4 linked regions of the Rattus norvegicus genome follow. The protein of the gene in region 1 purifies or fractionates together with the protein of each later gene. This does not show direct contact. Links are inferred from orthologs where the notes say so. Each region holds a gene or a part of one and is shown in the gene's direction. Other genes may lie near its edges.

Region 1 (7,642 bases):
GTGACACTCATTCCTTTTCCCACTTGAACTTGAGGGCTCTTTGCCCCCTTGTGTACTTACTGCCTCTTCACTGCTCTGTGGGCCACCCCTCAAGATTAGGTGGGCATTTGAGGTAGGGGCTTGTTTGTTTGTTTTAACGCTGTTCACAGTCACAAGAGCTGGCCTTGCACGGCATAAAATAAAAGTTCTGGGAAGTATAAAATCATGCAGACAGAGGATCAGACTTGGCTGGGAGAGATGCCCAGTGGTGGAGTACAAGGAAGCCCTGAATTCAGTCCCCAACTCTGCATAAAACCAGGCATGGGAGCACATTTTCTGGTTATGTGGTGAATTCAAGAGCAGCCTGGCTTACATGAGAACTTGTCAAATGAAATTAAATAAATGGATGGATGGATGGATGGATGGATGGATGGATGGATGGATGGATGGATGGATGGGACAAGAACCCCAATATGTAAGTCACTGAAGAAAGTCTCCATTCTTTTTTGTTGTTGTTGTTAAAGAAGGTTAACCCTTTTTTTTAAAAGTATTTTATGTCTGTGAGTACAGTGTAGCTGTCTTCAGACACATCAGAAGAAGGCATTGGCATAGGGGGTAGCCTTCTTTTACTCTGTAGCTTTGGCTGACCTCAAACTCACAGAGATCTCAAACTCACAGAGATCTGTCTGCTTCTGGCCCCTAAGTGCTGGGATTAAATGCATGTACCGTGGTACCCAGCAACAGTACTTGAATCTTTTTTTTTTTTTTTAGATTTCTTTATTATTATATATAAGTACACTATAACTGTCCTCAGACACACCAGAAGAGGGGATCGCATCCCATTACAGATGGTTGTGAGCCACCATGTAGTTTCTAGGAATTGACCTCAGGACCTCTGGGAGAGCAGCCAGTGCTCTTCACCACTGGGCCAACTCCAGCCCATGTGATAAGTTCTTCACCTCAGAATCAGAAATCAATGCAGATGATGTAACCCGTGAGAGCAGTAAAGACTCAGTAGCTCCTGTCAAGCAAGCAGATGGTGAAGAAAACGGAGACCAACTTAACTCAGTGCCAGTGCTGTAAAATAGTGAGTGCACTGTAGTTTAGAGCAGAGGAGGAGGAGCCCACAGTCGCCCGTACTGGGCATGTAAGTGACTTCTCTGATTAAGTAGGTGAATCATGGCATGAGACAGGGCTGGGAATTCTGGGCTGATGGAGGTACAAACCGTATTGCCTCTGTGCGGTCTCCACCATGCTCCTGCCTGTCTTCAGAGACGCGAGGAAGCTGCAGCTCTGCTCTCTGTACTGCGTCTTCAGCCTTTGTGTTTAGGATGTCATTGCCGTGTGCAAAACATTCATCTCTGACAGCCAGAGGTAGAAGAAAAATACTGCTAACTTAGATCCAATGCCAAATCCGTTTTAGTTTCTAGTGTTGCTTAATTAGGCCTCCTGCTGCTGAGTCCTCTGTCTGTTGAGTGTCTGAGATCACAGGCTTACACTGCCATGCCCTGGAGTCCACCTGGAAATGTTTGCCTCTGTACTTTGTACATTTCTGTTCGAATGCTATCTTGAGCTTTTAAAATTCCTTTATATTCCCTCCAGCATACAGCAATTGCAAAAATCCTTCTCTACTTTATACTTTGTTCTCTTTTTGTTTCTGTTAGAGATGGTTATTCAGGCAGGCCAAGAATTCTCTTGTAGCCTAGAGCAATCTTGGATGTATGGTTTTCCTGTCTCAGCTACTAAGTGTTGATTAAGGCTATGGGTCCTGTGTATCTTGTGTTGTCTTTTCTTTATAGTCACAGACTCTTGATGGGCATTATTTGCCTTTTCTGGAGGTATCTTTTGGTACTGTCTAATACCTATGAGCACCCGGGTATTTAATGGGAGTTTTGTTTTGTGATCTATTTACGCCCCACGGCGGCACTCATTGAGCACAGCAGCACACTACAGTTTGGAGACTTGTGCCTAGCTCAAGTCTGAGGGGTTTTTCTTCCAGCATCATTAAACCCTGTTGATTAGGGACTTCCAGCTCTCTAGCAGTGGTTCAGCTACTTAAACCATAGATGTTCTCTTCACAGACATATAGTAGACTTGCCCTGTGTTTTCCTGTAGGACCGGGTGACTTTTAGGAGAATCATAGTGAAGAACAATGCAAAGAAGAGGAAGATGTTCGAATCGTTTATTGAGTCTGTACCGCTCTTTAAATCACTAGAGGTAAGGCTTACGAGAGTCTGTGTATGTGGTTCATGAAAAGCTGTTAAAACTGCTCTTAGGTCTTCAAATAATACTGTTCTGATCTAGTTGTAACAGTGACAGTCAATCAAGGTTTTATCCTCATACTGTAACTATATCCGTTACTTAGATGTCAGAACGAATGAAGATTGTGGATGTGATCGGGGAAAAGATCTATAAGGATGGAGAGCGAATAATCACTCAGGTGAGTTGGGGGCTCACACAGCTCCTTTTCTGGAAGTCCCCATCACAATGAACAGTGTGACCTGCTTGCGGACTGAGTATGGTAACGCACATCTGTCATGCCAGCATTTAGGAGAAGTAAGCTGGGTGGTGGTGGCACATGCCATTAACCAAGCACTCAGGAGGCAGAGGCAGGCCAGTCTCTGAGTTTAAGGCCAACCTGGTCTACCCTGTCTTAAAAAATAAAACAGAAAAAAAAAAAAAAAGAATGGGGGTGGGGGTGGGGCTCTGAGTTTGAGGCCATCCTGCTCTACATACCAAGTTCCAGATCACCCAGAGCTGTTTAGAGATCCTGTCTCAAAAAAGGAAAAAAAAGGAAGGAAGGAAAGAAAAAAAGAAGAAAAAAAATCACTGGAAGCTCATGTTGTCCCTTCTATAGAGACCTCTGAATGCTGTTCACTGAGGCCCATCTCCCTGAGACGTTAGTTGAAGTACCAGGGACTGAACTCACATGCTGAGCAAAGGCTTCTGCCACTGAGCTGGGTCCTTGGTCCTTTTTGTTTGTTTCGAGACAGCGTGATCAAGTCGTCCTAAACATGGAAGCCTTCGAAGTCTCTGCGATTGCACCATGTGCTGCTAGGCTCGGACTGCATTCATTTAGGGGTGGGCTTCTGCCGTTTGTTCTAGTGGATCTAATTTTCTTTTGACCCTGAGTAAACTTTATTAGTCTGTACTAGACAGCTGGGGCTTACGCTCCCTTAGCCCTGTGCTGACACGGGAATCCTCAGCATCCAGTGACTCCTTGATATAGAGACCCTTTGTGTCTTTCTCATGTTATTTTTAATAATGTTAGATCCCACACAGTAAACTGGACCATTATACTTAAAGAAGACTGCAAACTGGGCATAGCAGTGTATGCCTAAAATCCCAACACTTAGGTAGAGGCAAGTGGGTCGGGAGTTCAGGACCACTCTCAGCTACATAACAACTTTTGGCTCTCCTGTTCTACATGTAATATCTTTTAGAAATATTTCCTCTGTCTACTGTGTTTGTATTTTAATTACATGTAAGTAGTTTTAGAAACTTTTCCAGATATAAACTTACCTGCCCATGGATCTGACAAGACCACTGGGGAAGGAGTCTGGCTGAGTCCAGGTGGACAGTGTATAGGGCCTTGTTCACCCAGCTGTGGTGAAGAGGATGGTTTCAGGTCAGGGTGGATCCCAGGCCTATGTGCTTGAGTCCCATTCATAGAGCTGGCCCCACCCAAGCCTTGAGAACTAGTCAGACTTACAGTGAAGGGAGAGGAGAGCCCACTACAGCACTGACAGAAGTACCCTGTTCATCCCAGTTCCAGCTCTGAATGGCTCTGCTTGCTAGGTGAAGACTGGGGTAAACAAGACTCAGTAAGGCCCACTGTGATGTGTGATGATGCACATGTGCAAAGTGAGAGTGTAGAATAGAGGTAACTAATCCGTGTTACTCTGGAAAGGAAACTGCAAGTGCTTGTTTTTTACAGGTTTATACAAAACTTAATTTCTTCCTTGAATATGCAGAGTACAAATATGATGAAATGTCCGTGTTTACTTTATGAAGTAAAAAAATCTGCTCACATTTATATTATAAATTTATTAAGGCAATGAACTGTATAGAAAAAGCCCTCATTTGTTCTGCTTAAAGCATTGCATAAGCCATTCTGCACATTAAACATTGCACTCCAGTGCATGACATGCTGTCTGCATAGCATGCTGGCCAGTGAGGCTGCGGGTGTATGCTGGCCATCCCTAGGGGGCTTCTATCTTTCATCTCAAGTTATTCTGCCCACAGTTTCAGGGGATACCAGCTCATCATGGAGGCAGGAACAAGTCAGGCCGTGGTAATCAGAAAGAGAGTGAATGAAAAACAGGGGAATGTCTCTCTTAGTGACAGAGTGAGGCCCCGTGTTCCAAAGGTTCAGTAACTTCCCAGGAAAGTGTCTCCAGATGGGGACAAGAGGTCAAATACATGGACCTTTGGGAGACATTTTGCATTCACACTGTGACACAAAAGTCTTTCGGGTTTTTGACAGGATCTAACTGCATAGCCTAGGCTAGCTTCAGACTCACAGCAGTGTTTCTGCTTTAGCTGGCTGCGTGCTGTGGTTATAGCCATGAGCCGTCATTCCATGCTGGAACTGGTGATTCACTCAAGCGAATCAGCCTCAAATGGTGTCTCTCTGTTTGGGGTTTGAAGTGGTGGGTCAAGCAAAAGACTGACGCTTGGCAGGGCGGACTCTTACTGAAGACAAAGTCCACACCAAGCTGGGCATGTGGGAGTGCACTTGGGAGGCAGAGGAAGGGGTGCTGATGAAAGTGAGGCTAACCTGGAGACAATGCATGCCAGGCCAGCCAGAACCACGTAGGCAGACCTGTCTCAGAACAAAGCACCAACCAGTAGCATGTGACTGCCGTTGTTCTCCGTGGTTTGACCCAGAGCTAACTGTGAGGGTGAGAAAGTGGAACAAGCCGAAAGCTTTGTCTCCTGTCTGCTTGCCTGAGTCTCTCTTCCTTCCAGCTTTTGCTCAGATTTCGCCTTTCCCTAAAGCTGTGTTGTCCACAGTAGCCTGTCCATCTACCGCCAGTTGAGAGCCTGTGGTCCCTGTCCTGTTCTTGTCCTGTAGCACTTGCCACCCTCCCACACAGCTGTATAACTTATTATTAATGTTCTGTATTATCATATTTCTTGGTATTAGTTTTATGTACATAGTACGTCATTTGTTGAATTACCTGAATGGCTTGTTCAGCTAGGTAGTTTAGTAGTAAACCAAGAAAAAGAAGGCCTACAGCTTAGAAAGGCAGCGTTAGAGCTTGTGCTCGAAGGTACAGCCATCTGCATCCATGCTGACCTCTTCCTGTGTATGGGGGAGGTGGTGGTGGGGGTCAAGGACAACCTTCCAATGTCATTGCTTGTGCTCAGTCCATTTTAAAAGAAAGAAGAAAAAAAACCACACATAAACTAAAACAAAAACTAAAAAGCAAGGTCTCGCTTGGTGTGGTGACACACACACTTTAATCCCGCACTCAGAGGACAGAGGCAGGTAGAACTCCAGGCCAGCCTGGGCTCTACAAAGCAAGTTCCAAGACAGCCAGCCATGGCTACACAGAGAAACCTATGGGGAGAAGGGTACAAAAAAACCAAAACAACCAAGGCCTCTTACTGGCCTGCAGCTTTCTAAAGTTGGGCTGGCTGGCTAGGAAGCCCCCAGGGATTTGCCATATCTGTCCCCGAAGCACTGAGATTACACTTGTGCATTACCACACTTAGCTCCTCCCACCCCAAACTTTGGCTCTGAGGACTGACCCTCAGGTCACTGTGCTTGACTTACAATGCTTTCTCCCTTTTTCTTCTTGAGGACTGTGTTTGTTGATCAAGATTGTTCTAGGCCTCATACTCTGGGCCTTACTTTGACACTATGTGCAGTATTCTTGTATACTGGTCCCTAGAATGGGCTTCAGCACACCGACAGACAGGCAGAGCAGGGATGCTGTGAGGTTGGTGGCCTGGTCATATTCCTGGAGGTAAATATGAGTGCATAAGACAGAGGAGAAGTGGGCTGGGGATTTAGCTCAGTGGTAGAGCGCTTACCTAGGAAGCGCAAGGCCCTGGGTTCGGTCCCCAGCTCCGAAAAAAAGAACCAAAATAAAAAAAGACAGAGGAGAAGTGTTAGTCATAATGGGGCCAGTGTCCTTACTGACCAGGAACCTCTGGTTCATTACAAGTCTGTTAGCCATTGACCCACTTGAGCAGTTGGAGACAGAGCTCTGAGGCCGACAGCGCTCACAGTGTTTGGTGTTCGGTGTCTTTGACCTTGCCTCCTCTTTTTCAGGGTGAAAAGGCCGACAGCTTTTATATTATAGAGTCTGGAGAAGTGAGCATCTTGATTAGAAGCAAGGTGAGTTTGGGCGCACTGTGCACGTGTCCTCGCGCCAGTGTTTACTTTGTTCAGCGTGGCCTGTACTTTAAAAGTTCCAAGCCATTGTCCCCAGAGCTCCCATGGACTAAACCACCAAGCAGAGGCACACATGGAGGGACCCATGGCTCCAGCCACAGAGGATGTAGCAGAGGATGGTATTGTCTGGCATCAGTAGGAGGAGAGCTCTTGGTCCTGTGAAGGCTCGATGCCCCTGTGTAGGCAAATGCCAGGGCAGGGAGGTGGGAGTGGGTGGGTAGGAGGGGGGCATCCTCATAGAAGCAGAGGGAGGGGAGATGCGGGGGGGGGGGGGGCAGACCTGGATAGCATTTGAAATGTAAATACATAAACTATCCGATTTAAAAAAAACAACGGGGGTTGGGAATTTAGCTCAGTGGTAGAGCACTTGCCTAGCAAGTGCAAGGCCCTGGGTTTGGTCCCCAGCTGGGGGGGGGGGGGGGAGACGTTTAAAAAACAACAACAACAAAAGATTTAGTACATTTTCTCTTTTCCCGATTTTGCCTCTCTCATATAATTAGTGAAATGAGGATTACTAAGCTATAAATAAGAAAACTATAAAAACTATAAATACAGGAGCATTATGTAACAGGTACATACAAGGTTGGATGTGAAGACGGCATCCACAGTTTAGGACTCCTGGGGAAAGTCTCCATTATGTTACTCGCATGGCTCTCATGGATAGACAGAGGTTGTAATTGATGACCTGTAGCTCGGAAGAATGCTGGATGGCCGCTATCTTTTTTCTTTATCCCTCTCCTCCCCCTTCCCCCCTCCCTCTCCCTCTCCCCCTCTCTTTCTCTCTCTCTCTTTCTCTCTCTTCCTTCTCATGTAGCTCAGGCTGGCTTCAAACTCAACCATGTATATATCTGAGGATGACTTTGAATTTTCAGTCTCTTGACTCCACTTCCCATATCCGTGGAGGGATGAAAAGACTAAAGATGTAAACTAGAGTGTCTTAAATTTACATTTAAGGGGTTGGGGACTTAGCTCAGTGGTAGAGGCTTGCTAGGCAAGCGCAGGGCCCTGGGTCCTCAGCTCCTTGGGGGGTGGGGGGGAGATTTGCATTTAAATTGCATTTAAAGATAATAAAGAAGGCAGGGCCGGAGAGATGGCTTCCCAGTTAAGAATGCACAGTGCTGCCTAGGAAGTGCAAGGCCCTGGGTGGCCCTGGGTTCGGTCCCCAGCTCCGAAAAAAAAGAACCAAAAAAAAAAAAAGAATGCACAGTGCTCTCACAGGGGCTCTGAGTCTGTTTTTCACAGCAGCTCCAGGGAACC
Region 2 (7,642 bases), on another chromosome or scaffold:
ATTTTTTTGGAGCTGGGGACCGAACCCAGGGCCTTGCGCTTCCTAGGTAAGCGCTCTACCACTGAGCTAAATCCCCAGCCCCGAGCTATATGCTTTTAATCTCCTGGGAGGCCTTGACTCTGTACCGAAATTTATCTACAAGAGGTAGTTGAAACATATGGAATGGGGTTCGAAGTGGGCATAGGAGTGGTTATTGGCTTCTGGCCGCTAAGGAAGGGATCTTGAGAGGCAGCAGAGTAACAAGATCCCTAGAACTGGACTTAGCAGAGAGGCCTGAGGTGTGATGAACACGTGTGCTTGGATATCTTCAGGGACAGCACAGCGCTCCTTCTTTAGGATCCTAGATCCGCATCTTCCACTCTGAGGTTTTCCCACCAGATAACCTGTCACAACCCTGTTTTATTTCTTGGGTTAGGAAACTTCATGGTGACTCCCACTTTCTTCTACCTTCCAATAACTTTACAGACGCAGTTAAGAGTATTTGCAGCCTCCCTGGTTTCTAAGTAGCAATTATGTATGGCGGTACTCGCTGAGTACCTGTCTACACATTTAAGGGACTATGTTAGAGTGGTGGATTTGGGATATTCTGGAAAGGGAGATAACCATTCATTTTGTCAAAATGAAGTCTTTTGACAGCCTGGGGCTGTGCCACTCTGTCTAACGATGTTCTAAGCTCCAGGAACACAAATGAGAAGAATGGGATTCCCCCTTATGTTTACAGGGGTGTAGTAGGGGAATGGGGATGGCTTCCTAGGTCAGGTGGAGGCTAGGGTATTGAGTGTTTAGTTACATGGAATCAACCCTAACGTTTATGTTGCCATTTTTCAGTTTTGTGGCATATCTGCCTGCACTCTTGAGTCTTCTCAGTTATGTGGCGGCTGGGCCAGTAGGGTAGACACTGTAACATAATGCTGTATCCTCTAAATTTGGTTCATTTCCCCAATTCTTTTGCTTTGGTCAGCTCAGCCAGGTAAAGTGTGGTGGTTTGCGTGCATTTGGGGGCTGAGGCAGTTCTTGAAGGATGGAGTTGTGCTAGGTTACATTTACATTCCCTAATTGTAAGTTAACACTTCTGAAAAGAGAAATCCCTTCAGACTTTTTGGGTATTATCAGAACCCTCGTTTTCTTGATGGTAAGATAGAATCTTGACACATGATCTTTTCGCAGGTTATGGGGCATGGAGTGCTGGACCTGCCAACACCCAGGGTAAGTGGCTCCTGTTTAATGGGTTTAATTGGGGTTTTCTCCACTGCATGCCCTTTTGTAGTAGAGCCCAGCATCTGCCTTCACTGGAGTATGTTTGTCTTTTTTCTTTATCTTAAGGAAAAATAGTTTATTGAGTGCTACAAGGGAGCAGAGGCTGATTAGTAAATAGAAAACTCCCTGTATCACTCTACTACCCTACCACCATTTTTAAAATCTGAGAGGGGCTGGAGAGATGGCTCAGCGGTTAAGAGCACCCGACTGCTCTTCCAGAGGTCATGAGTTCAATTCCCAGCAACCACATGGTGGCTCACAACCATCTGTAAAGAGATCCGATTCCCTCTTCTGGTGTATCTGAAGACAGCTACAGTGTACTTACATAGAATAAATCTTTAAAATCTGAGAGGAACTCTGAAAGGATTGTGTATTTAACATACAAGAGGCCCCAATTTTCTAGTCCCAGGTCACACCCTAGCACCATTGGAGGCCAGCCACTCTTTTTTTTGTGTATCATTGAGGTCCCATGAGGAGGTCTCCTCAATACCTGTGCCACATAATGTGCTCTTGTTCGGTTGAAAATGTGATTTTTTTTTCCCCCACTGATGCCCTAGGTATGATCGGGAATAACTAGGTTTGGGCTCCTGATGAGAACTGAGCTTATGTAGGGGATCTTTCTAAGGTCCAGGCCAGACTGTCCTCTCAGTTGATACTCAGTTGATCACCGTCCTAGGGACTACTGTACCTTTCTTTCCTGGGAGAAGTCAGGCTTGCCCCAAGAGAGAAATATCAATGGTGCTTTGTACCCATTCTGTCTTCTGGTGCAGTGAGGCAGCAGCTGTCCTTAGGTAACTCTGGTGCAGTGAAGTGCTTATGTGTTTTTGTTTTTTTCCTCAAGGTACATATGGAAGTGGTGTGGCCAGCTGGCAAGGTAAGACCTTTGGAAAGGGATCTTGAGGTGGGCAAGTGAGTCAAGTACAGGTCCTATCCCTCCATCCTGGCTGTGCCCAAAATCTCTGTTGATAGCATGGGGAATAGAGGCTGCTGGGCACTGGGCCTCGAGTCATGCCCAAGCTAGGCTGACCTGAAGGTGACTTGAACTTGTTCCTGAGGGATCGTGGATAGAGTGCAGGAACAGTTTTCAAATGTCTTTGTCAGTCTGGATTGCTATTCCGAGGCACTTAGCCTCCTCTGGCTTTGATTAGGAAACAAGTCCTTCTGTCTTTAAAAGAAAAACTGCTGGGCTGGAGAGGTGGCTCAGAGGTTAAGAGCACTGACTGCTCTTCCATAGGTCCTGAGTTCAATTCCCAGCAACCACATGGTGGCTCACAACCATCCTTCTTCCCGTGTGTCTGAAGACAGCTACAGTGTATTCATATAAATAAAATAAATCTTTAAAAAAAAAAGAAAAAGAAAAACTGCTACTACAACCTGTGGCCAGCTGTTTCTCTGGTCTTGATCATTTGCGTATTGTGGTATGATGTTGGTGATGCTTGGTTCCTGCTTGGTGGCAGAGAGTGCTTCTGCAGACAAGAATGTCATGGCTAGCCTCATGTGCTGAGGCCTAACCCAGTTCCTCTTTCTTCTGATAGGTTATGAAAACTACAGCTACTACAATGCCCAGAACACCAGTGTCCCTACAGGAACACCCTATAGTTATGGCCCAGCCTCGTGGGAGGCCACCAAGGCCAGTGATGGTGGCCTGGCAGCTGGGAGTTCTGCTATGCATGTGGCCTCTTTTGCCCCAGAGCCATGCACCGACAACTCTGACTCGCTCATTGCCAAGATCAATCAACGTTTGGACATGTTGTCCAAGGAAGGAGGCAGGGGTGGGATCAGCAGCGGTGGGGAGGGCATGCAGGACCGAGACAGGTGATTATGGCCTTCAACCTTTCCTGGTAGAATCCCTTTCTAGAATCATGAAAATGGGTACCAAGCCTTAGCCCTCTTTTCCTGTTCCTGTTTTAGGCAGGAGCTAGACCCTGTTGGGAGGATTCCTAAACTGTTGGCCAATTAAGTTAACCGAAGATTCTTTCTTCTGGCAGGGGCTTCATGCTCTTCTCTGTTAGCAATGTTTAAATGAGTGTTCTGAGGCCAATTTGCTTTCTGGGCATTTAGGTAGATACTGGGTGGATTGGTTTCTTGTTCTGAATGTAAGGGGGTCAGCTCAGTGTAAAGTTAGCAGAGGGCAGACTGTTGGGTAGCCTGGGTGCCGTAGGCTGCTCCTGATGGGTTGTCTACTTCCTTTGCAGCTCCTTCCGCTTCCAGCCATATGAGTCCTACGACTCCAGGCCCTGTATGCCTGAGCATACTCCCTACCGCCCCAGCTACAGTTACGATTATGACTTTGACTTGGGAACTGACCGCAATGGTAGTTTTGGCGGGACATTCAACGACTGTCGGGACCCAACCCCAGAGCGAGGCGCCCTTGATGGTTTCTTAAGGGGCCGGGGCCAGGGCCGCTTCCAGGACCGGAGCAACTCGAGCACCTTCATACGTAGTGACCCCTTCATGCCACCCTCAGCCTCCTCAGAGCCCTTATCCACCACCTGGAGTGAGCTGAACTACATGGGTGGACGTGGTCTAGGTGGGCCCTCCACCAACAGGCCGCCTCCTTCCCTCTTCTCCCAGTCCATGGCCCCTGACTACAGCATGATGGGCATGCAGGGGGTGGGCGGTTTTGGTGGCACCATGCCTTATGGATGTGGCCGGTCCCAGACTCGGATACGGGATTGGGTAAGTTTACCAAGTTCTGTCAGGCCTGTTGCCTTTTCTTCCTAAAACTTAGTTGAGGTGAAAGTTGTGTACCTTTGTCTACTGTAAGATGCCCCTATTTCCCAGGGAACAGTCCCACTTTCAGTGAGTTTACGCCACTTGGTTTTAGATGTCTCCCTCAATTCATCCCTTCTCTGTCCCTGGGTTGGCCTGTTGTAGAATATTTCACAGCAATGGAGTTGTACATGTGGTTCTGTGTGTCTGGCTCCCTCTCAAGCTTTTGACTTCTGTTATAGTCTCTTGCTTTTTTGAAGGCTTTTTCCTGCCTTTGTTTTCTGTCCTTAAAAATGCTGGGGCATCTTATAGGCCCAGGTACATGACATGTGTTTGTGTCTGTAGCCCAGAAGGAGGGGGTTTGAACGCTTTGGACCAGACAACATGGGCAGGAAGCGGAAGCCGTTTCCATTGTATGAAGAACCTGATGCCAAGCTGGCCCGTGCTGACAGTGAAGGAGACCTCTCTGAAAACGGTATGCTCTGGGGATCAGAGTCAGTTGCCCGCTCTGGAATGAGGTGGCGTTGTTGGCTCACACTGCCTTAGCTGAGCCCTGTTGCTAGTCTAGTCCCTGAGCTTGGGAATGTGAAAGCGCTCTGAGACCCATCCACCTAGGGACTGACACTTCTGTTGCCTGTGTCTGGCAGATGATGGAGCTGGTGACTTACGGTCAGGAGATGAAGAATTTAGGGGGGTAAGTTCACCTTCACAGACTGTTGATTTGGCCTTGTTTTCTTCTGTCTTTTTTTTCCTCACAGAGGTGAAAATAGCTGTTTTTGCTGAAATCAAGCATATATCTTTTGTGTGTGGCCTGTAACAACTGTTTCTTGTGTTTGCTTGTCTTTAATTCTAGTTTCTGTTCCCCAACCTCCTGGCCTCTTCCCTAGATCCATTGCTCCTATTCCCTTCTGAAAAGAGCAGGTCTCCCAGGAAGATCATCCACTGTCCTCTTTCATTTCCCTTGCCTTACAGTGCTGAGTCTTAACCTTCAGCCTTCTAATTGTGGGGCTCTGCAGGGTGCTACTCACCTTGTCTAGCCTCTTGACCTGATACCCAATCACTGGGGAGTGTCAGCAGAGGCCAGTCTTGGGCCACACCACCTTGCTGAGGAATGCACAAGGTGTTTGTTAGAAAGTTTGCTCTGGGTACTTCTGATGGTCGGGTGGAGAGCCAAGCGAGGATGGGCGACAGCTTTCTTCTTATGGCCAGCAGGTGGTAGAATCCAAGGCTTAAACCATGTTTCCCAAGTGCTCCACCCACCTACCACCAATAACTGAGGTTTTTCTAAGACTCTTTCTTGCTCCCCATTCAGGTGACGTAGCCTTAAGGCTGGGGGTCTCTGTACATCTCTTAGACCTGCCCAGGGAACTGACTCTGCCTAGATAACCCTAGGATCTGTATTTACACTAATTTGTTAGAGTGCTAAATATATCCTAAGAAGCTTGGGGAAGCCTGTTTACAATCAGTGCTAGTTAGAATACCCCAGACTGGGTGTTTCCCCTGCCGGTGGATAAGCCTTTCTGTGGTGTAGAACTACATGGGCTACGTTTGCCACTGGGCAGGTTCTGTCACTTTGGAGAGAACAGAGTTGGTCACTGTAGGAAAGGAAATACCTTTGTGGTCTTCTAATAGCAGTGAATTATAACGGGGCACTTGAGCTCTCCTCTTTGACTCTTGAGGTTTCCTGCTGCTCATTTCCCACACCACAGCAGGCCGAGGTCTGGTAAGACCACATCCTAGGTATGGCCTGGGCTGGTTAGAGAGACTTCTGGACCCCACCCCACAGCCTGACACTGTATGTGCCCTTTTTCAGGAGGACGACCTCTGTGACTCCCGGAAGCAGAGAGGTAGGTGTCACCCAGCATCTTTTGTAGCCTTTATCTGACCCACACTCACCGCCCAGCTCCCGGCCAGCTTCTGAGCAAAACAGACTTGTCATGGAGACGCCATGGTTGATGGCAGAGGAACTGCAGCCGTCAGTGGACCCACACTGTGGGAGCCATCCCCAAAGCGTGGTTCCAGTGTCTGGGGCAAGGTTTGCCTGAAAGGAGGAGCTCCTTTGCCTCAGATCTAGATACAAGTTGTAGGAGGTAGAAACCCATCTCTGGGTATCTGTGATACCCATGTTCGGAAAAAAGGTTTCAGAAGTCTGAAGAGAAAGAGGCCTCTTTTCTATTCCCGTATTCTGGCCCATCTTTATTCCCACCAGGGGTATTTTTGTTATTTTGTTTTGTTTTTGTTTTTTTGGTTTGGTTTTGTTTTTTTGTTTTTGTTTTTTTGTTTTTCTCTCTCTCTCTGTTGTGAGCTTCAATTTGTACCCTGGCCTCTGCAAGAAATATTGGCATCTTCAGTACCTGTGCACAGAGAGCAAATACCTACTATGGTTGATCTTGAGGTCGTGGGAGGATAGCCTGTAAGGTGTACTCAGGCCCATATCTAAAGGCAAGAGACCTAAGAGCCCAACAAAGGTTATACCCAAGGGTGAGAACCAGCCTGAGCAGCAAGGCCTTAGGCTCACCCAGCAGCCACTTGTCATTTTCCCTATGGTGTAGACCTGTTCTAGCTGGTTCCTCTCAAGATTCACAGGCTAGCCCATATCCCTTAGTGTCAGAAGGCGTATGGCTCCTCTAAGGTTCTCAGGTTATCGAACCCTCAGGTGTCCCTCATCCTACACATTAAAGTTTTGTCCACAGCGCGGACCACTCCCCAACCCCCAGCATTGAGCAGCTCACGCAGCCGGGTAAATGCTAAAGCAAAGGTGACATGTTTGTTGCGCACAGGTCCTGCTACCCAACCGGGATGACTTTGCTATTAAACAGCAGTCATAGTTTCAGGCAGTGACCTCTTGCCAAAAGTCCCACACGTCCTTTTGAGAGGCTTCTGAGCAGCGCACGCCGGTCGCCATCTTCGTGGGACAGTCTCGGGACTGGCATCAGGGGTAGGGGTTACAGTTCAGATGCTTATCCAACCTTTTTTCAGCATCCAGCCCTGGCCCTGACCCTGGGGCTCTGGCTGGTCTCATGCTGAGATGCTGGCCACAGGGCTCTCCTGGGAGCTATGCCAGCCCCAGGGAATGGACGGGAGGACCATTCGGTCTCTTCCCATTTTTGTGTCTAGGATTATTTCCCACTCCGCCTTGGGAGAGTCCAAGGTTGTTGGTTTTGTGAGTGGAAGATAGAGATCGGGCCAGCAAGGACTGTCAGACCTGCTGAGTCCCCAGTTGAGGTGAAGCCAACAGGACAGTCACCGCACCCCACCTGGAGGTGGGATGGAGGGTGGCAGTGCAGCTTGCTGTTCCCTGAGGCTTCCCAGCTGCTGCCTGTGTGGGGATATTTGCAGCTCTCTGAGTGATGTGGGAGAAGAGCCAACAACAAAGTACTGTAGTGGACACGCAGCCTAGGACAGAACAGAGTAGTAGGTGGCCATGAGTGAGATGGGCCTCTGCCCATCAGGCCATGGGAGGAGTGAGGCAACTCCTCTGGGTTCTCATCAAAGGTCCTGGTACATCAGGAACCTCTAACAACAACACCTTGGTGCCTTGGGGTATCCTAGCCCTGCCACAAAAGTAATGGAAGCTGGGCACAAGGTATGGCTGCCAAGCTGCAGCATCCAACTTGGCCCTGGAGCTGACCCCTCCTGCAGGCTCCTCAGTGTCTCGAGGGGACTTTTCTGT
Region 3 (7,642 bases), on another chromosome or scaffold:
TGTGTGTGTGTGTGTGTGTGTGTGTGTGTGTGTGTGTGTGTGTGTGTGTGACTGTGTACTTAGTGGGGCCTCGTATGTGAAGGCCATTGTCCACCTCAGGTGTCATTCCTCAGGAAGCATCAACCATCTATTCTGAGACCATGGGGACCTGTAGGGACAGGTAGAGGAGCCTGATCTCAACAGGCCCCAGGGATAATCCTGTCTCCAACTCCTCAGTGCTACAATTCCAAGCTCACACCACCACACTTAGCTTTTTACACAGAGTGATGGGGATAAATCAGGCCCTCATATGTGGTCATCTGAGCTATCATCCCAGCTGCAAATTTGACTATTATTGCTAGTATTATACTATTTTTATTGGACTTGCTAGGCTGACCTCAAAGCCTTGCTTGTGAGTACTGGGATGCTAATTCTATGATGCCATGCGTAAACAACAGATTACCCTGTAGGTTGTAAGGCCACAACTCAGCTGCCACCAGTGCTGCTTCCGCATCTTAAGTTGCTTGCATTGTAGCGGTTTTGATCATTCAAACAGGCTTTTGCGTATCCATTCATTAAACACCTGTTAAGTAGTTGTGAAGTAGTTGGTTAAATGGTTATTACTATCCTCGGTCAACCCATATACATATAATCAAAATAATAAAAAGAAATCTTTTCTGTAGTTTGAAGCCAGGTATGGTGACATAGGTCTTTATTTCTAAAACTGAAGGAGGCAGAGGCAGGCTAGCCTCAAACATAGCAAGTTCCTGGATGGCCGGGGCTACATAGAGAAACCTTATCTCTCAAAAAGACCAGAAACCAGAGACATTCAGCTTGAGCATGTTTAGGCATGAAGCAGTAAACATGACTTGAATGTGTAAGCACATGTAAATGCCAGTGCATGCTTTGTAAAATAGATCTCCTTTCTGTTTGACAGTGACATCTGTATGAACTGGTTTTGTTTTTTGTTTTTGTTCCCCCTCGGATAATTTTGGTTTTAAAGATCACCAACTTAGAAGAACAATTAGAGCAGTTTCGGGAAGAACTGGAAAATAAGAATGAAGAGGTTCAGGAGCTTCTCATGCAGCTAGAAATTCAGAAAAAGGAGTCCACTACCCGCCTGCAAGAGCTCCAGCAAGAAAACAGATTATTTAAGGTAATTGGTTTAGAAGAATAATTCACATTTTGATACTTTGTATTTTTGTCAGTTATTTGTGTAATGGGTTATCCTAGCAGCCTGCAGAATAGGCACAGAAACCTGGTATTTCTTTTACGGGCTTTAGTCCTAGATTGGACAGGCTTTATGCTAGTCTCACATCTCAGCCCTACGCCCCTTGTCGCTCGCTGTCTGAGTCTCAACAGGGCTGTTCTGCGTCATCAGTCTGTCCCCAGGTGCACTTGTCGTGTGCGAATGCTCCTGTTACCCCGTGTAACAGTGACCTCCTGCCCTTATTCACCCTCTTTCTACTCATGGTCTTTCTCGAGATCCCCTACTGCATTCTCAGGCCTACCTTCCTATCCTTTCTGCCAGTCATAAGCCCCAACCATTTATTGGCTAGTCAGGAATTAAACTGGGGATCAAGGGTTACACAACAAAGGCCAGTGTACATGTGAATTCACTTATCCAGACAGCAGTCAGATCTTGGGGTGTCAGACTTCAGCATTTGTACACATAGCACCAGACCAACCCCCAACATATTTGCTACCAACAATATTAGTTATTAGTAGGCAAATGAATTTGCATGGGAGTTATTTGCTGCCTAACCTAGATACTTGAATTTATCATAATGAAAATATTTGAGATCATTTATCAATATATTTTAAATATTGAAGTATCTTATTTTAATTTATTATGTGCATGCCATCTGTTTTCTAAGACGTAATTCAAGGTATGTTTTGAAACATGTAATGTCATACAATTATGAGAATTATTTTCGTCCCTAGGAGGAAATAGAAAAACTCGGGTTCACCATGAAGGAATCTGATTCTCTGTCGACTCAGGATCAGCCCATGCTGTTTGGCAAATTTGCGCAGCTAATACAAGAAAAGGAGATTGAAATTGACCGATTAAATGAGCAGTTTATAAAACTCCAGCAGCAGCTTAAACTCACAACAGATAACAAGGTGTGTCCACTTTAAATTTATTTGTCAAAATTAATAGGAGTTATAGTTTTTCAATTTTTGTTACACTTACCTATTTTGGAGAAGGGAGTGAGTTTGCACTTACCCTGCAATGTTTCAGAGGTAGTGAACAGCTTGTGGGTGTAATTTCTCCTTAAACCGGGTGAACCCCAGAAGTGAGACTCACCTCGCCTGTTTGACAGGCAACATCCTGACCTGTCAACGTCTAGTGCATTGGAGGCCCTGGGTACGGTCGCACACAACCAGGACACAGGGCGTGCAGAGCAAAGGCAGAAGCAACTGCACGCAGTTGCAAGCTTTATTAATCCTTATATAGATATGAATATGTGTTACTATAATTTTTATTTTGGCAAGATACCATAAAATCATTATTCCCACGATACCAGGAACAACTGAGGCAAGACTAAACAAAGAAATACGACTAAACAAAGGTTTCTTCTCAAAATATTCACATAACATATCACCCCTCTTATTATCAAAGTATACTCGCCATTACCAAGAGAGCGTGAGAACCGCTTTCACAGAAACAGGACACAGCAGAACATAGTTTAAGGCCAAGTGAGAAAAACATTTTCTTCTCAAGGGCGGCATTCCAGCCCCCACTTGCTCCTGTCACCAGTCCTTACTTGACCCTGCCTGGGAGCTGCATCTCTCTGTCTTAACACTGACCCACTACGTCAGAGGCTTGAACTAAAATGTAAAACACGAAATAGTGATAATTCTCACTTCCCTCTTGAATTTCCCTCGGGATAGGGTGTGTGCACCTGAGTGTGCAGACACGTGTGCCCGTGCCTGTGCACACAGTGGCCAGAGCAGGGCATCAGGCATGTTCTGTTGCTTCTCTCTGCCTCACTGCCGTGACACAGGCTCTCCATTTAGTCTGGTTGACCAGTGAGCTCTTGACATCTGCCTGTCTCCGGTTCTCAGAGCTGGCTTACAGGCCCACACAGTCCTGCCCAGCTTTTTATGTGTATGCTGGGGGTTTGAATTCACTTCTCATGCTTACAGAATAAGCACACCTAGTCACTGAGCCTTCTCACTCACTCGCCCTCTCCCATCCAATTTTAAAAACATACCATGGCTCAGCTGGGGAAGGCGCTTGCTAACGAAGTTCAAGTGTGTGTTATTGGGTGTGCTTGAAAGTCGTTGGTTGTGTGTCCTCTTTCATTCTGTTCAAGAGGACGCACTTATACTATTTTCCAAACGGGAAATGAACTGCTCAGGTTTGAGCTCAAGTTTAACAGAACTCCCAGAATGAAGTTCTAAATAAGAGGAGGTTATCTTGCTGGTCTGTATTGGAAATAGCACTCTGCGTCAGAGACAGTATGTTGGTTTAGGAACTACTCATTTCTGCTAGGTCACTTCTTAAAATAGAATTTCCAGAATATAATATACATTTATTTTGTATGCATCCTTTTTCATTAAATAATAGGTCATTGAAGAACAAAAGGACCAGATACGAGATTTAGAAACCCAGATTGAATGTTTGATGAGTGAACAAGAACTTATGAAGAAACAGAGAGCAGAGGAAGCAGAGCAACTCAATGGCGTGATTGAGAAATTGCAGCAGGAGTTAGTCAGCACTGAGCAGAAGAGAGAGGGTGCCAGGGCCCTCCCAGAAGACGAGGAGAGCTTTAAACACCAGTTGGACAGGGTGACTGTTGAAAAGCTGGGTTTAGAAAAGCAAGTAGAGACCACCAACCAGGAACTGACAGACTTGAAAAATGTACTTAAAGAAATCAACTTCAAAATGGATCACATGACACAAGCACTGTGCAACTTGAATAAAGAACTTCCCAATGTCCCTAAGGAAAGTGTCCACGTGACTGTGCATGAGCTTGGCTGTGACAAACTGCAGCCAGAAGGTGCCTCTGCCCAGGATGCTTCCCAGCCCCTAGAAAGTCAGACCTCCCTTATGTGTCTTCAAGAAAGCACTAAAGCTTCTCAAATACTAGAAATAAAGTCACTACCACTGCAGGGGTCTGGTAGCACCAAGGACTTCGAGCTTGCCCAGTGTCATAAACAAATAGACACCATACAAGAGCAAGACCAGTCTGAAATAGGAATGCTTCAGAAGAAGATCACAAACCTGCAGAAGATCCTGGAGAAGTTCTCGGCTGCATTGGTCAGTTGGGTCCAAATGGAGGCAGCTCAGGACCGTGTGCAGCTCTACCAAGAAAAGCAAACGCAGACGGTCTCGTCAGCACCTGAAAGGACAGATACACAGAATGTAAATTGTCTGGCAGAAAACAACTTGGAGTCACATGTCCCCACACTGGCTGTGAGACCAGCAGAGTTGGAGAGCCGTGTAGCTGAAGTGCTTAGTGATATAATGTCAGAAAAACACATGGAAACTGTGGGGAAGAATGCCTCAGAGACAGAAAAGGAAGTTGTGGCGCTACAGAAGCTATTAGAAGAGGCCAAGAAAAGGCTGAAAGAAGAAAGAGAACAAAGCCCTAGGGATAGAGAGGTTAGTTTTCAGTATGATGGTTTATTTTCACTCAAATGCTCTAGGTAATTCTTTTCCTTCGTTCAGTGATAGTTTACTGATAAATCTGGAGTTTGGTTTACATCAAACGACTTATATATAATGAGATTTCATGAAAGTATACTGTTCTTAAAGAAGAGGCATTACTTTATTTGAATAGTGGTTTGTGAATCGTTTAGCACTGACTCAGAGACTTCCTGTCTGTATATAGGATTATATACAGACAGAACTCCCAAGTGAAGTAGAGTGCTACCTGAATGATTATGCCTAAGGCTTTGGGGATGATCTTTGGTTGATGGTCTCTAGTTTCCTGAAGCACAGCTGCTCAGAGTTGGCCTGGAGATTTTGCTGTTAGGCTTAGCTATGGTAGGTTTTTAATTTGCTTATATACTGTATTCAATGCAGTTTCCTTAAACTAGGGCAAAAAGCTGTAGACACAGTTAAAGTTAACACTAATTTTTATCACCAGAGTAACAAGTGCAAACTATATTCTGTAGTCTTCCAATATGACATCTGTTCCATTAAAGTCATTTATTGAAATAGAAATATAAAATTATTTACTTTTAGCTCTGTTCTCCCAGACTTCTGTGGGTTTTCTCCCTTAATTTCTTCCTAAACATGTGCTCTGACATCATGCCTTTTAAGAAGTGAAAATTTTCACATTATTAATATACTGATTTAATGTGGAAAAAGTCATTAGCTCTCACAAATTCTATACCTGTTGAGATTTTGTTGTTCATGGGGGAAAAACTTGTATTAGAGATCTGTAAGTCTTCTTAGGCAACGATCTAAAACTGTGTTTATTTATTATTGTACAGAAGACAATACAAGGACTTAGTTTATATTGCAAAGGGCAATAATTTCAGTAACAAGACTGGGAACTACTTTACTGTGAGTAATAAATAAGATGGGTAAGACCTGCCTGTGACATGTAAGGAGTGTCTTGGTCATGTCTGGAACAAATTAGAAAGTTTTGGATGGCAACCAAGTGTTTTAATACATATACTAATGACATTATTCACCTTCATTCTCAGAAAATTGCTCTGATTATCTTCATGTAGAGTGATGGCTCTGAACAAAAGTCCGCGCTGATTTTACCAAGCTTCAGCCATTTTGTCCTCTGATTGTAGGCAGCCATTCTTGGTAAAGCAGTGTAGGTGTGCTTTGGACATCACTGTGGTTCCTCAGTGCTAATATTCTCCTCAACTCTCACTCAGAGAACTGCTCAGCTAACTCATGCTGGTGGAGGCAGTGGATTTTCAGGTGGCCTTGAAACTTTTGAAGCTGAGTCAGCCACTTCAGAACTCGCCAGTTACAAAGAAAGGGCAGAAAAACTTGAAGAAGATCTTTTGGTAAGATGAGCAACATGGCTCCCAATTCATTCATTTTTACCTCATTTCCTCTCAGTGCGTTCCCTAGGTCTAGATCTTCAACTTCAGTGCTAGGGAAAGCCTTTTCTAGATTTAAAGAAAATTCCATGGTTACATTTCTTTACCAGCAACTTATCGTTTTGTTTTTCTGGGAGTAATGGTTGGGAAGATGCTTCTTACCTGTACTAGGTGACGGAGAAGTAAGGCTTTTGTTAAACAATACTAAAAGTCACCATGAGAACAGAGGCTGATGACGTAATTTACTTCTCTGTAACCTGGCCGCAGTGTGTAAAAAAGGGTGCAATAACTGTGGAGCACCCCAGTTAACTGTGATTTTCCTTTCCCGCTGCAAATCAGCACTGACGATGAACTGTGCTCTCTGTGTCCACCCTGAGGCCTGCTTCTAACCACACAAGACTTAACCGATTTCTCTGCTCTTCTGTTCACCATGTTTTAGGTAAAAGAGAGCTACATAACATCACTTCAGAAAGACCTAGGCCAAGTTAAAGATCAACTCACAGAGGCCAAGGAGAAATTATCCCACTACTTAGAAAAAGAGAATGGGACTGGGGAACAGGAAAGCAGAAGGGTCCCCATACCAGAGTCACCTTCTGTTGAGGGAGGTGGCGGCTCTGGGACCATGGAGAGGACGGGCAAGGTCAGCAGCAGCAATCAGACCCCGCAGATCCTTGTTAGACATGCTGGGGTTCAGATCGACTTACAGAGCGAGCGCTCCCAAGAAGAACTCAGAGACACCATCAACCAGTTTACTGAAAAGATGGAGCGCATACAAGAGCTCCATGCTGCTGAGATTTTGGATATGGAATCCAGACACATCTTAGAAACCGAGTCTTTGAAGAAAGAACATTCTGTTGCGATCCAGTTACTGACTAAGGAGTGTGAGACCCTGAAGGATATGACCCAGTACCTGAGATGCAAAAAGGTGTGTGGGCTTTATAGAATATACTCTTTATGTCCTGCCATTTGCCTTCCAACAGTATAAGCTTTTAAGAGAAACATTTCAAAAGGATCCAAGGAATAATACCTCTTTTCATAATACAATCATAATGTGGCATCTTTCTGTATAGTTAGATAATGAATTTCCGTATGGTTTGGAGCCTATTGTGATTTTGTAACTCATAAGTGTTCCTTCCTATGGCAACATCTGTGAGGAGGAAATTAGACTTGTTATTTGTGCATCATTTCAGTATGACAGATTAAATTGATGTCTTTATTTCTCCCTTAGCCATATCAGAAACTAGATGAATTATTCATTAGGTCCAATATTTTAGTAAATAAATTTTAAAGTCTTGTATATTCTGATTTTGTCTTCTTTAATTAGGGATCCTCCATTTCTGATTTGGCAGATTCTGTTGCTTATCAAAGTAGAGAAGTATACTCCAGTGGTAAGTCGAATAAAATTCTGGAATGTTTAAACAAATGAAATAGTGTTTATTTAAAAAGTGTTATTTTGTATGTAAACATGTAATTACAGGTGGTCATTTTCTTAATTTTAGATTCAGAATCTGACTGGGGTCAAAGCCAGGGATTTGATACAGCAACAGAAGGGCGAGAAGAAGGCGAAACTTCAGATTTATTTCCAAAGAAAATAAAGGTATGGGAGACAAAGCCCCTTCGTTAACTCAGGCAGCGTCGTCTCTGC
Region 4 (8,442 bases), on another chromosome or scaffold:
GCTATGAATTATCTGGTGCTTTCTTTTAAGATTATTTTCAACCACAGGTCTCTAATAATAGGACAGACATCTATTTAGTAACTCATGCTTACTAAATAAGCAGTATAAACAAGCCATAATGATAGTATAAAAAAAGACAAGAAATTCATGTGGGTCTTATTTTCTGTGTTGTAAACAAATAATTTACTTTCCTCTCAAAATGGACAGAGGAAAGAGAGATGGCGTTTTAAAAAATTACTCACCATCAGGATGTTGTAAGAGTATGCACAACTTCCTCTTACGAATGTGTGTATGCGTGTTTACACAACGTGGACACACCTGTGAGTGGAAGCACACACGTGTGAGCATGTGCAGGCTCCGCAGTGATGTTAGGAGTCTCTCTTCATCTTTGTCAGCCTTTGAGGCAGCACGGCTTGCTGAACCTGGAGTTCTTAGTTCTACACTGGCCTGACCTAGCCTGGCTAGTGAACTTGTTCTCGAGATTCCATCTCTCCTCCTTCCCTGGTGGCTAGCATCCCCTCTGTCCTTTAAGAGGGTTGTAGAAACAGAAACAACCTGGCTTGCCAAGAGCTTTACCTGATGAGCCACCTCTTAAGTGCCCACCTTTCTAAGAGGTGCCGATCGCCTCCTTCCAAATGGACGGTAAATGGAGACTTCTCTCTTACTAGAGATGACTCATGACTGAAAATAGGGTCAAGGGAAGAGAAAAATCATGTACACTTATCATTTCAGCTAGTGCTCAGGCCTGCATACACGTAAAAAGTCACTGTTAGGGGGGCAGCAAGAGTATTCTAGGGGGTCTAGGAAGGTCCTTCTCAGACAAAGTCGATGAAATTTGGAGTGTATGTGGTTTGTTAGTGGACTTTTAAAGTATACGAAACATTGCATTCACAAAGCTAAAACTGGGAGGGGTGTGATATCACTGGGTGCCGACATAAACCTCACATCCTGTGATCTACTTGCTTTCTCCCCAACCCATCCACATCTCTCTTTGAGACAGGATCTGTGTAACCCTGGATGTCCTGGAACTCACTGTGTAGCACCCGTCTATGCTTCCTTAGTCTGGGATTAACGGTATGGGCCTCCATGTCTGCTCTCCTTGCTTCCTTACTGTTGCTATTCTATTTGTAGTTAATGAAACTCAGGGAACAATATAGTCAACATTCTCAAGGACTAAACTAATTCTCTATCTTGCCAAGTCACTGGGATTTTATATGGAGGGAATTTGATTTACCACAACACAGATGTCTTACAGTATGAACAAAAGCCACACTTTTCCCCATTAATTTATTCATTTTACATCCCAATTGCTGCCCCCCCATCACAATCTCCCCTCATACAGTTCCTCTATCTACCCTCTCCCCTTCACCTCTCAGAGGTTGTGTACCCCCTGGGTATCCTCCACCCTGGCACATCAAGTCTCTGCAGGGTACATCCTCACCCACTGAGGCCAGACAAGGCATCTCAGTTAGGGGAATGGGATCCACAAACAGGCAAGAGCTTTAGGGACTGCCCCATCTCTGGTTGCTGGAGGACCCACATGAAGACTGAGCTTACATTTTGGAGCCCAGCTGCTTATCAGAGGACAGAACACTTCTCTCTGTTTGTCTTAGTTAGGGTTTTATTGCTGAGACACCCTGACCAAGGCAACTCTTACAAAGGACAACATTTAATTGGGGCTGGCTTACAGTTTCAGAGGTTTAGTCCATTGTCATCATGGTGGGAAGCATGGAAGCTTGCAGGCAGACCTGGTGATAGAGCTGAGAATTCTACATTTTGATTCACAGTCGCCAAGGAGGGACTGTGTCACTGACCTTAGCTCGAGCACAAGAGACCTCAAAGCCCACCCCACAAGGACACACTTCCTCCAACAAGGCCACACCTCCTAATAGAGACATTCTCTGTGGCCAAGCACTCAAACACATGAGTCTATGGGGGCCATACCTATTCAAAGCATCACACTATCCCCCTTCAGTTTTTGTGTGGGTTCTTTGGTTGGATGTAGGAATCCAAAAAAAAAAAAAAAAATCAGAGCTGATTAGCCAGAGAAACAGGTAAATTATTAATTTTATAAGACATGAAGATCTTCACAAAAAGTAAAATCTGAAGAAGTGACTGATAAAGTATTTTCATACTTCCTTGGACAAATAAAACATTTGGAAAGGACTAATTGGACAAATATATATGTCGATGATACCGCACTAAGTTTCTGGCATGGTCTGAAGATATACATATGTACATGTATGTATATATGTATATGTATGTGTGTGTGTATGTTTGAAAGTTATATCACAGTTTATTCCAGTTGGTGGTGGCCCCAATCAGTAGTATCGAGTGATTAAAGTTATTTTCTGACCTTGGTATGTAAACGACATCTTCTCTAAACAATGGTCTATTCTTAAGTTATAATTTCTCAATTCATTTAAAACCAAAATAATAAATATACCATTCTGGCATTTTTTCCAGATGGTATGGATTTACCTTCTTCATTTCAAATTCTTCTAATTAGGTAATATCTGTGCGACTTAGGTAAGTCCTTTAATGTCTCTGTGCCCCCGCTGGACCTTAAGTAATACAATGATAGTAACGCTACATTTTCATAGAGACTTTATGAGGAAATTACTTACTATTTGTACAACACTTAGAATGCAGTATACTTGGTGTGCACGCTTGGCTTTAACATAATTGCCAATAAGAAATAGAAACATGACTTTGTTTAGAATCTTCCAGTCACCGCTGCTTTTCCCCCCAGTAACAAAACTTTAAAAACGTTCTAAGAAAAATCTCCTTAACTTACTTTCCAGTCAACAGACATCCGTTCATTATACCCCAATTTTAGTTTGAGCTGCAGATATTAATTTACATGGTCTCTGACCTTCCAGAAGTTAATCTTTCTGTTATAAGTCTGGAATTCTTGCTTAGATAGCAAAGCTCAAAAGAATACAGTACAAAAACTACTAGAGAGCTAGGTGATTAAATATCTAATAACCTTACAGAAAACTTAAGTTCTCTAAGATGCATAAAAACGCAACAATCAATTGGGAATGTATTTATTTTGAAATTTACACATGAAATTTGTGACTCTGATGATGCACATAACGTACTTGTGTAAAAACAGTAATACATTCCCGCATCTCTCCTTAGAAAGTCTGACAGAAGAGGGTGATTAGGTGAGACCAAGGAAAGCGAACTCGGGAAGGAATAACCTGTCCAGAAAGTTGGCGATAGACCTAGTGTGTTGGAAGAATACCTATTAGAGCGAAGGAAAGAAGTTCCAGTGGCAGCTGGCCAGCGTTCCTGGCCAAGGCTGACCTAAGGATCAGCAGGGTCCGCAGGACGCGGAGGAGCGCACGCACATTCCTCTAGCCACCGAGTGAGCAACCTTTGTATGCGGAACGCGCGCAGCACGGATGTGGGAGCAAGCCGAGCCCTGGCACTGTGCCCCGCGTCTGGCTCTACCGCACCGGATACCACCCCGAGGAAGGATTTGGGGTGCTTCCAAGCTAACGGTTTCCATGTCCCTCGCAACCTCGAGATTAGCCTCCGAGGTCAAGCTCAGCATCCACTCTGGAGAACAATTATTTACCACTTCAGCGCTACACAGAGGGGTTCCTGTCCAACCGGGGGGGGGGGGGCGCTTGCGTACGTCACTTCCGGCGCGCCCGCCCGGAAAGAGGCGGAGGTCGCACTTTGGGTGTGCGTTTACTGGGGACGCGCAGTGTCGGGGACGCGCCTGGAGGGCGGGCTCGGGAAGGGGGAGTGTCTGCGCGCCGCCGCCACCGCCACAGTCCCGGTTTCTGCCCGGGAGCTCGCAGCATCTCTTCTAGACACCCAGCCGCTCTGTGCACCCGGACGCTGCGCTCCAGGGTCTGTGGGAGTCAAACAAAAGCAGGAGTTGCTGCAGACTGCGGGGCGGCGGGACGGCCCCGGTCCCCTCCCCTCCGTCACTCCTGCTTACGGACTCCCGGGTCATGGGGAACACGGCGATCGCCAAGAAAGGCAGCGAAGTGGAGAGCGGTGAGTCCAGTTGAAGGCCCTGGCTGGGTTCCCGCCGGATAGGCTGCGGTGCAGCACCCCGGGCCGGAGTCCCCCAAGGCCGCGAGCCACGGACCAGGCCTCGCGGCGGCCGCAGCTAACAATTCCAGGGGCCCCGGGGGCCAGCCGCCTCCTCTGTCCCCTCCCCCACTAAGGCTCGGGGGTGAGGGCCGAGCTCCCGGGCTTGCTGGAGGGAAGGCGGGCCGCGCGGTCCCTGTGATCCCCTGTTTTACTAGAGCGAGGAGGGCTGCCACGGTCTGGAAAGCTTCCCCAAATATGGTCCTTAAAAGAAGTCCCTTTTGTGATCGCACCCTTAGCTCTTCTCCCTTTTCCCAGAGCCCCCAACACCCTAACTCCTCTTTTAGGGGAGCTACAGGTAGTGCGTTTGGGTTGAGTTGGCTCTTTTGTTACTTCTCATGGATCTATATATCAATCTCATCACAAGGTGAGTGCCGGGTGTGGGTCTCCAAAGGTGACGTTAACCCTCAGTGTCTAAGGCTCTTTCCTTCACCCACATTAGGGATGGCAGCATAAACACAAGCAGCAACTTTATCCATTCGAGGGGAAAAAAAAAAGTGAGACAGCTTTGTTTTTACTCTAGACATCCAGGAATGCACCAGGATGCCTGTAAAACTTAAAGGTATTTCAGAGCTGAAGTGCTTTCTTCTGAGAGCTCAAAGTGCAGACATTCAGTACTTTATACAAAATTTCAAGAGTCGTGGAAGTGTAGTAGCACGGTTTCATATGTAAACACACACATATACACGTGTAGTGTAACAGGTTGTGAAAAAATCGTGTGCCATTATACGGTTCATATCATAATTTCTAATTCAGAATAATTAACGAACAGTACTTGTCTTTTGTTACATTGTAAATGACATCTCAGCCCTTGAAGTAAGTCTGACAATTTGTTCGTGTTTCTGTAAAAAATATCTTCCGTTATGTCTGTGTTTATAGCAGAAGAATACAGCTAATCCTGTAATTAGCTTGAAACAAACAGCTTTTGATCCTCATGAATACAGCAGAATTGAATCGACAGACGGTCCAGCTATTGCTTTTGTGGAATGTAAACCACAAAGTCAGATTTAGCGGGTTGTTTCATTAATATGGTTTGTTCCCGGACAGTTATATGGACAGTAGTGCAAACTGTAGGTGAGCATGTGCCAATTTGAAAAGCCAATGTAGAATTAGGACTTCCGTATTATCTTTATTAATTGTGCAAATGTAGTAACTAATCGTACAGACTCACAAAAAATGAAGTATGACAAAATTTTATATCCACTTAACATTACCCTTCCCCTATTTCTCTTGTCCAGTCTATGCTGAGTGAGTTATGAAAATGAACCTGATAGTTGGATCAGTCCAGGAATGTTCTTAGCAAGAGCTGCCTTTACAGTTCTTGTGTTTTTAATGATAATCCACTCTCCAGTAGTCTATACATTTCTGCTATTATGTTTCCAACCAGTTCCCCCAGATGATGTGAATTTAAACTGGTAACTACGACAAAGTCGTGTGTGAGTTTATTTATAGAAACTGAAGATCTTTAGAATAATTTGCAAAATATTCTGAAGTGTGGAAAGAAGGTAGCAGATGTCTCATGGGAAATCATATGAGGCATTTGTGGATCAGCTCTCATGCCTCCATTTGGAGAAATGTTAGCTGATGTGCTGGTGTTCTTCTGTAGTAAAGAAGTGGTATAATTTCATAAAACTTCACGACAAAACATGTCTTACCATTGTGTGCCTAAATGTTCTGTATATTTTCAAATGAATTATTCTTGAAAATTTGTGGCTCATGTTTTAAATGTAATTATTTAAATTTCTCTTGATACACAGAATACACTTGTAGATATATGTATGATCTTAAGAGTTCAGTCTGCACTCATCCTATCTCAAGACCCAAGCAAGCGCCAGCCCTGAAGAAGCAAGGGTTGAGATCGTGTTCTTAATGAGAGAGTGAAGAACAGCACTGATGCTTGCACTGCATCCCACGTCACTAAGTAATTAGTCTGTCCTCTTTCAGAGTAGTTACTACCCACTTTGGGTTTCCCGGTAGACCCTGTGGACAAAATCCTAAGGTTTTACTATGTAGTATCAGGTGAAAGGTAGACTGTAAGTGCTGACACTGGGAGTAAAATTAGAACACCAGAAATTATCAGCAGGGAAGTTTTTGATTTGAAGAGCTAATTAAAGATATGAAGGTAAGATCTGCAGTTTGATGAGGAAGAAGCCTCCCACAGACAGGTAATTCTAGAGTTTAATTCTAAAAATACTCCCAAAGAATGAAGTTGGGGATAAAGATAAATGCGAGGCTCTGGTAGCTCCTTGTTTTTTGTTTTGTTTGTTTAGGGGTTGTTTTTGTTTGGGGATTGTTTTATCAGTGTTGTTTTAGTTTGATTTGGTTTGGCTTGACTTTTTTTTTTTTTTTTTTTTTTTTTTTTAATTTTTTAGCTTTGATCATCCAGGGCCTTGCTCCTACACCCACAAAATTAAAGGATTCCATTCTGATCTCCACAGTTTCTAGAGATAAGTTAATTTGAATTCCTCAGAGAATGGGGGTGTTTCAAAGAACAACTTTTGGCTTTATATAAGTCTCCTATGTGTTTTAAAAATTACTCTTGAAACAATGTCTTCCAAAATTTGAGTATACTTATTTAAACATCATTTAATACACAGAACCTTAAACTTTTAGAAACAAGAGGCTACAAGTCTCAGAGATGTTTCAAGAGTACCTTATTTCCCAGTTAAATATGTTGCTCACATAGCCTTATTAATACAAAAGAGGGAAAAAAAGAAACCCACAGAGCCCCATGCTTTTCTTTTAATCAGGGAAATGTTTTTGTTCTTTTAAAACATATTTTACATCTCCAGGCTGTCAGTGATCTACATATTACACATGGTAAGCGTGTCCAGGTCCAGGGGTAACCACTGTTGGGTGTTAATTCTCCCATGAGCAGAAGTAGGAAAGCTATTCTGTAGCCCAGTGGTTTTATGATGGTTTTTGGAAATGACCTTGGAGCTTGGACTAGATGAGGTGGCACACACCTTTAATCCCAACACTGGAGAGGCAGAAGAAGGCTGTTCAAGGCTTCTGAGTTCAAGGCTAGCCTACTCAATATAAAGTTGAGGTCAGCAATAGTGACATCATGAGACCTTGTCTCAAAAGAAAAGGAAAAAGAGACCTTGAGAATAGGTAGAAACTGATCAGAGAAAGTCATCAGTAGATTAAGTTCAGCAAATGCAAACTTCTTGGTTCTTCTTTTTTTTTTTTTTTTTTTTTTTTTTTTCCAGAGCTGGGGACCGAACCCAGGGCCTTGCGCTTCCTAGGCAAGCGCTCTACCACTGAGCTAAATCCCCAACCCCAAATGCAAACTTCTTGACGTTTTGGAGAACTAGTGTGTGTCTTTCTCTGGGTGCTTTGCACACATTGCCATGCATACCTTTTCAAACCCTATGGAATGGTTCTAATGTTGCCCCATTTTCAAAAGTGGATAAAGAAATGATGTGTAACTGGTTAAAGGTTGCATCGTAGTTAATCAAGGAGTGGCATCTGAACTTAGGCTAGAATCAGAGCCTCTGACCTAAGAGTCCTGCTGAGCATTCTTTTTGAGTACCCAGCAGAAAGTCAGCTGCAGGACAAAGAATAGCCAGTTCTTTGTTTCAGTTTATTAATGATAACACACTTTATTACTTCCAATGGTAACTCTATTTGGATCTACTGACTATCTTAAATAAGGAAGATTATCATTCCTGTACCATTTTCTAGATTCATATCATCATCTAAAAATGGGGGCAGGGCTAAATTATTTTCTTTAGGTATTTCATTTTCAATGCTAAATTAACCATATATAACCACCTTTCTACTCTTAAAACCTTCATTGTCATGTGGTTTATTCCTCATTTCTAAATTTACCTTATCTTCCTGTTAGGTAGTAAGCAAGCCAAGAGGTCAGTTGAACTTATATTGCTATTAATGAATTTAGGCTTTTGTGTCGTACCGTGATTTTAAATAGTCCTATGATGGTAGATATGTTCTCCACGTCACTGCTCAGTGAGGTGGTTTCTACCCAGATGCTGCTGTTGAGCACATGGACCGCAGCTGCACCACGGAAGGACTGTATTTTCCCTTGCACTTGTCTAGATGATGTTTGGTGGGTTGACAGCCTGTTTTTGACAAGCGCTGTCTTTACATTTAATAAAAACGCCAACCCTTAATCTATAATTTTGTTAATAAAGAGTGTATTTAGATGAACAAAATTCTAGATATATATCTTCTCAAAATCATCAGCATTTCTTCTAAGTAACGACTTATAAACATAGTGTACAAATTAAGATGTAGTAGTTTGATAGACTCAAAAAGTTCCCTGAAGTTCCCTTTGGTGGAAATGTATATTTGATTGACAGTATT

What was found.
Region 2: the proteins of Prkar2a (region 1) and Akap8 purify together in Homo sapiens (affinity purification with western blotting; 3 studies listed by BioGRID and IntAct, with this or other methods). This does not show direct contact. The link is inferred for Rattus norvegicus from reciprocal best matches to the Homo sapiens genes PRKAR2A and AKAP8.
Region 3: the proteins of Prkar2a (region 1) and Akap9 purify together in Homo sapiens (affinity purification with western blotting; 3 studies listed by BioGRID, with this or other methods). This does not show direct contact. The link is inferred for Rattus norvegicus from reciprocal best matches to the Homo sapiens genes PRKAR2A and AKAP9.
Region 4: the proteins of Prkar2a (region 1) and Prkacb purify together in Homo sapiens (affinity purification with mass spectrometry; 6 studies listed by BioGRID and IntAct, counting the BioPlex papers as one, with this or other methods). This does not show direct contact. The link is inferred for Rattus norvegicus from reciprocal best matches to the Homo sapiens genes PRKAR2A and PRKACB.

Annotation. Positions count from the first base shown.
Region 1 is NC_086026.1:118,322,012-118,329,653, forward strand, and holds part of Prkar2a (cAMP-dependent protein kinase type II-alpha regulatory subunit), read left to right. Parts: intron 1-2,094; coding exon 2,095-2,196; intron 2,197-2,344; coding exon 2,345-2,419; intron 2,420-6,262; coding exon 6,263-6,328; intron 6,329-7,642. UniProt on the Homo sapiens protein: Regulatory subunit of the cAMP-dependent protein kinases involved in cAMP signaling in cells. Type II regulatory chains mediate membrane association by binding to anchoring proteins, including the MAP2 kinase.
Region 2 is NC_086025.1:11,974,434-11,982,075, reverse strand, and holds part of Akap8 (A-kinase anchor protein 8), read left to right. Parts: intron 1-1,167; coding exon 1,168-1,206; intron 1,207-2,098; coding exon 2,099-2,131; intron 2,132-2,792; coding exon 2,793-3,072; intron 3,073-3,452; coding exon 3,453-3,936; intron 3,937-4,314; coding exon 4,315-4,444; intron 4,445-4,616; coding exon 4,617-4,663; intron 4,664-5,782; coding exon 5,783-5,816; intron 5,817-6,749; coding exon of another isoform or gene 6,750-6,772; exon of another isoform or gene 6,773-6,908; intron 6,909-7,642. UniProt on the Homo sapiens protein: Anchoring protein that mediates the subcellular compartmentation of cAMP-dependent protein kinase (PKA type II).
Region 3 is NC_086022.1:31,040,239-31,047,880, reverse strand, and holds part of Akap9 (A-kinase anchor protein 9), read left to right. Parts: intron 1-982; coding exon 983-1,135; intron 1,136-1,923; coding exon 1,924-2,103; intron 2,104-3,553; coding exon 3,554-4,591; intron 4,592-5,826; coding exon of another isoform or gene 5,827-5,961; intron 5,962-6,436; coding exon 6,437-6,922; intron 6,923-7,321; coding exon 7,322-7,385; intron 7,386-7,496; coding exon 7,497-7,594; intron 7,595-7,642. UniProt on the Homo sapiens protein: Scaffolding protein that assembles several protein kinases and phosphatases on the centrosome and Golgi apparatus. Required to maintain the integrity of the Golgi apparatus. Required for microtubule nucleation at the cis-side of the Golgi apparatus.
Region 4 is NC_086020.1:238,381,791-238,390,232, reverse strand, and holds the start of Prkacb (cAMP-dependent protein kinase catalytic subunit beta), read left to right. Parts: upstream 1-3,971; coding exon 3,972-4,017; intron 4,018-8,442. UniProt on the Homo sapiens protein: Mediates cAMP-dependent signaling triggered by receptor binding to GPCRs.